2 linked regions of the Caenorhabditis elegans genome follow. The protein of the gene in region 2 interacts with the protein of the main gene of each other region in a pairwise test. Each region holds a gene or a part of one and is shown on either strand. Other genes may lie near its edges.

Evidence for each region. The genes of interacting proteins can lie anywhere in the genome.
Region 1: the proteins of F15E6.5 (region 2) and btb-10 interact in a two-hybrid assay, tested with the Caenorhabditis elegans proteins (one large-scale study listed by BioGRID).

The regions. Positions count from the first base shown.
Region 1 is NC_003280.10:1,058,913-1,062,748, forward strand, and holds btb-10 (BTB domain-containing protein), read right to left. Parts: upstream 1,891-3,836; 5' UTR 1,837-1,890; coding exon 1,733-1,836; intron 1,687-1,732; coding exon 1,320-1,686; intron 1,273-1,319; coding exon 1,128-1,272; intron 1,079-1,127; coding exon 801-1,078; 3' UTR 750-800; downstream 1-749.
Region 2 is NC_003282.8:4,288,008-4,290,799, forward strand, and holds F15E6.5 (F-box associated domain-containing protein), read left to right. Parts: upstream 1-1,559; coding exon 1,560-2,054; downstream 2,055-2,792. Other genes in the region: srv-4 (Serpentine Receptor, class T), read right to left, coding at 1-165, 264-425; dct-7 (DAF-16/FOXO Controlled, germline Tumor affecting), read right to left, coding at 2,289-2,392, 2,439-2,544.

The DNA.
Region 1 (3,836 bases), on a different chromosome or scaffold from region 2:
ATATACTGGACAATAACAGGGATCGGAAAACTAGCGGAGGAAACCTTTTGCACACTTTGACAACTCTTATGAAAGAGTACCTTCGATCGGCAGTGATCTCATCTGCGAAGAACGAGTTCAAGGGATGCTCGTACTTTTTGGCGGTTACTTCCAGAGATGTGGCTGTCAGATGGACGAAAAAAAATGGGGCTCGTAAGGGTCCAGGAACCTTCAATTGGCATGGACAACTGACTGTTGTCAATCTCTTTTATGCCAAGTGGTATATGCTCTACATGGTTGGAGAGTAATTCTCCTTGCAATTGTTCCAATTTAAACTCATTTTATGGCGTCAGAAGAGCTCTTTTTATTTGTAAAATTAAATAATAAATGTTTATATTCTATGTAATAATTTTTTTACGGAAACAAGAGATGAGAGGGTTTCCTCATAACCAAGAAAATTTCAATTGTTTATAGCCAAACTGTGAAGCCCAGTCGTTTTTTTTTTGCCCATTTCGCTGTGTCTGGTTTTAAGAACTTGTTGGTTTTTCAGATCGGGGCTCAGTACACCGGGTGCTGAGCCTATTTTTTGAGCTGGTCGACTTGCTCGAGTTTGCAACTCATGATTGCCTTGTCAAAATGATCTATAAAATCATGTACCAATGCTTATTGAGAAGCTTAACCCTGCCGCTCACGTTCCCGTTTGCGCGCAATTATTATCGCCCTGTAAAAGTCATGTACGCCCAATTGAAGAACCTAATAATTCAAAAAAACATAACAGAATGATTTATTTCCAAGAATCAAATCAGGTCTTGAAGAAAAAATCAAGATAACTCAATGAGTCGATCCAAGATCTTGGCTTTTGTCGCATCCGATAACTGCGAGTAATCATCAGATCCTTTGAACTTCTTAGCCTGATCGAAGCTTTCCATCTTCTGGATTTCCATAGCCAATAGCTTTTGAAGTTCGTATTTGTCTGCCAGAAAAATCAACCGTTCATTTGGGAACTTGGTGTCTCGAATGATTTGATTTTCCACGTGGCGCATCACTGCTGGGATCTTGAAACGATTTCCCAGCTCGAGAAGGACTTCAGCGTTTTGATCTGAAAATTGAGATTAGTTGGTTGCTGGAAGGGATCAGGAATAACTCACGATTCGAGAAAGCCGCTTCAGGGTAGATAATACTCATGAGAAGTCCGAAATTCTCATAGGTCACGTTTTCGATGGGGATCCCGTTTTTCTCATCGAATTTCTCAGCAAATAGATCACAGAAATAGTCGGAGTGGTAGGAGAGGAACTGAAATTTTCAAGCTTAGCTTAGCAAGATTCCAAATTAAAACTTACAGCCTTGTTCACATGAAGCTTCTTCTCTCCGATTAAGAGCACCGCATCGTGCTTCCTGGACGGCTCGAACATTGTGTCATAAGACCTGACCTGAGGATTGAGGTCATGAGAAATCTGAGGTGGCTTGGCTGGGTAGCGATGGAGTTTTAGATCAAACGAAAACGACCAGCGGTATGCATTAATGTATTTTGGGACTGTCATTATACAGATTCCTCCTCGTTTGTCAAAGTTCGAATCAATAGGCTTCAGTTGATGCCCATCATACGACAATTGGATGAAACCAGTGATCTTCTTTATTTCTTGCTGATCCCAATCCAGCTTTATTTTCAGGTGAATCTTGTCAGTCTCGAATTCATCAGTTATCTCACTAAAAAAATACTGTTTCATCTGTCGTTCAATAACATTTTTCTTACCATTTTAATCCGTTCAAAGGACTGATATCAAAGAGGTGGTAACCTCTTAGGTAGTAATTTGGTTCGCTTTCAAATTTAATATTTTGAGTAACAATATTGTCCATTGTTTCGGTAAATTCTGGAAAGATGCAAGGATACAAGAATAGACAAAGAAAGCAGAAGAGAAAACAAAAAAGATGATTGTAGGGGCCCACAAAAATGTAGAGTGAGAGTAGCCTAGGCAATTTATGCGCGCACACGGTGTTGCAGATCGATACAAACTGTGCGCAGATGGGAAAGGTTGCTGGAAATCTTGGGAAGGTGGAAGGCTCTTTTCCCGCAACGAATCTATGTGTTCAAATCAATCTGCTGAATTTCTTATCGAACTGAGAATTCGCTCCGAGAAACCAGTCGTCCCTGAACAGTTTGGAGAAAACTGAAAAGTCAAAGGATCTACACGGGATGTAAATGTGCACCTCTTACTTTTGGTTTTTTGTTAATTTTTAACAGAACATGGTAGAAATCCTTTTCTGATGCACTTTAAATTATCTGTGATTATAGTTTTCTTTGGAAATTTTTAATTTTGTCAAGACTTTTTGATTTAGTACTAAATTTCTTTGATTTCTTTTTGGCTTTTCTAATCATATAGCAAGCTTTTGAAATAATTTTTCAAAATATATTTTTGGTGAATTTTCTCAAAAAAAATTTTCGCTTCCAATTTTGATGAAACTTAGAAAAATAAAATAAGATCATGTTATTTTCCATATCAAAAACAACATAAAAACTTACGATTCCTACTGAGAACTTTAAAATATTGAAGTAAAATTGGCGTTTTTCAGTTGAAAACAGTAGTTTTACATATTGAAACTGTTATATCTCAAAGAAAAAATATAATTTTTTTTTTGATAATATTACCAAAAATGTTCCCATTAATTTAACTTTCAAGAAATATATTTTAATTTTTTGTAGCTAATCAGGTTCTAAAGTTATGTCAATTTTCGCCAAAGGTACCCATTTACAACCCAGTCGGAGGCAGGGGTGTGCGGCAAATTTGCCGAATTTGCCGTTTGTCGAGCTCGGCAAATTTTGAGATTTTCCGCACACCCCTGATCGGAGCCAAGACCCTTTTGGTGGTTAATCCTACCCTAAAGTACCCAAATCAGTGTTGTTCCACATTTACCTCACATTCATCACATCGAATTATGTCGAATCCCCTGAATGCTTTTGGTATTTGAAACAAGCTAAACGGCAGATGGCCTGAGCCACCTGGCTAATACCTCACCTCCCCCTAATTGCTTCCCGAGCCTCGTAGTGTGCTCATTTTGCTCCGTAAACTGCCATGAATGCCGGTGAGCCCCTTCCTTTTCCTATACTCCGACTACCGGAAAAATCAAGGATAAATGTGCTTCGCAGTATGGAAATTGTGCATTTGTGAGTTTATGTCAAATTTGATTTTTTTTTTTTTTGAAAAAAAAAATTTAGCAAGCTTTCAGGTCACGTTTTTCAGTTGACACATTTTTCCGTTATATTTTTTCAGGAAAATATGAGATTTAACAATTTCTCCAACTTATTAAAACCTTATTCACTTCCAGACTCGCCTTCTCCTTATGCTCCGACGCCACCAAAGAAATCGTGAAATCACTCCACCTGAAAGTCGACTCGAGTGGGTTCAATTTTGCAAAAGGTTTCAATTTCAAGATGAAATTTGGGAATAAACGAGTATGGTTGAAGTTCTACAATAAATGCCGATGCTTTGTGCCAAGTTTTGACATTCCTCAGTTTGTAAAAATATCAATGCACGGTCACCATGTGAATGTGTTCACCCGGAAAACCATGAGATCTTGGCTCGAATTCTTGATGGATGTGCTGGCGATTCAGAGGATCGATTTTAGTCTAAAAACTCCCTTGGACTCTGGGAATTTAGACATTGAAGGTCTAACAAGGGTTCTGGAGGGGATTGACGGCTTTTAGCTGCTGATTTTTCATCGGCAACCCCAAGATTTGATGATCTGACTTCGAAGCTTTTCTGGGCAAACTTACCATCTGCGAATCAAGTTCTAATTCGAAACTGTCTGTACAAAGACTCACAGGATTATCAGAAAGTTTTCATTCAGAACCTCGACAG
Region 2 (2,792 bases):
TACCGTATACCCTAGGAACATGGCATTTTTGATAACTGTCAATGAAAACCACAACAGCTGAGGAATCCAATGATCGTTTGCTGCTTCGAATAGGTTATGAACTCGGTATTTGCGTGGGCGAGCAACCAGCTCCACGTATAGGAACATAAGGAGGTCCGTGATAGCCTAAAATTCTAGGGGTTTTTTAAATTTGCTCAATGGGAAAATGGACCGATGCAGCATGATTCTAAGGCACTGTCCCAAGAAGAAACCTCTCAACTTACATGCATCCTGATAATCAAGAAAAACGACGATTTGAAAACATTTTTTCTTAATTGGTGAATAATATACAAAACCCGCAGGTACAAAAACACAGAAAACCAGCATATCGGAATAAATATCAAATGACTTATTGGGAGTAGACTTAGATTTATGGAGAGCGGCATTTTTAGGACATCAACCAAAAACACGTGTCATTCCAAGAAGATATGAAGAATGGTGGGAAAATAAGAAAAGTTGAGAGAGAAAATTTGAGAGATTGAGAGAGGGTGAGCAGGTGATTTTTGTGTTGTGTTGGGGAAAATTGGAAAAAGGAAAGTAAAGTATTAAACAAGATGGCAACAAACATTAATTTCAACGTTTGACGAGACCAGTTTGTTTCACATGATCCCGAGGAATATCATTGTTCTGACTAAAATTGTTGTGTAACTATACAAAATTCATATACAAATACAAAAATTGCGAGAACGGAATATTTTCTCATTCCCGCATCCAGGACAAGATTTTCGGAAAATTTGAATAGCCGAATATATTAGCTAACAATGTATGGGTCTCTTCATCGCTTAACACTATTTCCTCGTGGCTCGCTTCCGCAGGATACCTGCCGCGAGTCAACTTGCCTGTCAGGCGGCTAGCCCCTTCCTTGCTCTTCTCATCGTTTAGCATTTCTACTATAATTTGAATTATCCCAAATGGATAAAGTTCCTTTTCAAATCTTGAATCTACCACCTAGACAGCTGAGAAATGCTTTGAAATCGATGGATCTGTTATCTTTGTGAGTTCGAAATTAAATCCAAAACGATGAACTGTAATTTTAAATTATTTGGTAAACAAGTCTAGATTCGTTAATTCGACTAATTAAAAAATTTTGAGTAACCTTTTTGACAGAAAATGCCAGTAAAAAATTATCTATGCAAATAAAAAATGGTTTTTGTTATTTTTAGAACATGATTTATTTTCAGAATCTGTCTCTCCTTCACGTCTGGAAACTCAAAAATCCTTCGTTTTCACAGATCCATCAAACCGTGATCGTATTTTTGCGGGAATGTTTAATAACCCACATTCATTTTTGAATGGTGTACTGCCAACCGTCAGCAAATGCACTCCAACTCAATTCCGATGAGTTAATCCGAAATTGAAGGTGAATGAATTTGTGATACATTTGTATATTCCATCAACGAGTGGTTGATGAGGTCTACCTCAACAAGAACAGTTTTCGGTGGATACAAAAAGAGCTGCACGGATTGGAATTCCAATGTCTTCACTTAAAACCATTTAAAAGGAGTACTTCAAATCTGAAAATGCTGAAATCAAATGCTGAGCAAATCGTCTTTAAAGGGTATCCATTACCCGACAATTCAATTCAAACTTATCAAGAAGTTCAAGAAACCTTTCAACACAATCTTAAAATTCTTGAAATCCCATCCAACTATCCTCTAACTCTTAATGATTTATTGATCATCAATTGTTGTATTTTACGAGTCAAATGCATACTGACTCCAAACGTACTGAACTTATTCATAAAGCACTGGATGAACGGGTCCAACCCTTTATTGAAACATTTTTCGGCGAGAATATCAACAGAACTAAACCGCCATCTACGACCATTCATAAATAGACTACTAGCTGGTTTGAAATATGAGACGACAGTTCTAGAGTTTGAATTGAATGCCCAAGAAAATATTGCAGCTCAAGAAGTTTATGTAGTTCAGGGAAACGAAGAAACTCTAGCGATTATAACATTCTCTGATGAAGGTCGTTATTTCCAAATGTTTACTCAACCAGAAGAAAATTAGAGATTTTAATAATTAAGGTCTTAATAATTAAAATTTGAAGCCCAATTGAAAATTTTCTGAAATCAATAATACATATATTGATTGTTTGGCTGTCTTTTAATTTTTAACTAAATGTATGTATATCGTATTGTGTTTATCGTAACTGTATTACTGTTTTTCATGTTTAATAAATATTTGTATTGCATATTCACAATTAATACATTTCAAATTTCAAAAAAAAAAACCGAAAACAAGTTATCCCAAAAGTCCTCCAACAAGTCCTCCTCCAACACCTGGATTGACTCCAACACCGGCATTTCCGTAGGCTCCTTGGTTTCCATATCCATTTCCATACATATCTGGAAATTAGTCTTAAATTGCACCAACTCTTATAAGATAACTTACTTCCTCCAGCTGGTCCGAGTCCCAATCCAGTGTTGAGTCCGATTTGTGCAGTGGCCATAGCAATAAGGCCGAGGAGAACAATGAGATTGCAAAGGAAGCCGAACATGATTTAAAATTCAAGATAACTTGCTGATCGGTTCCTTTCCATGAGCTTATATACAGTCTCCATGTTTTGATTCACCAAACGGTTTAATCCTAGACAATCACATGATCACCATATCCTTATGAGGACAAACTTATCAAGTACGACGTCATGAATGTGTGTTTCATTGGGTTTTGAGAGATTGGGAGAAAGTTTGAAGATCAACGAGTGCGAGTAATTACAATGATCAGATCTATCTTCAAGTGCATAGG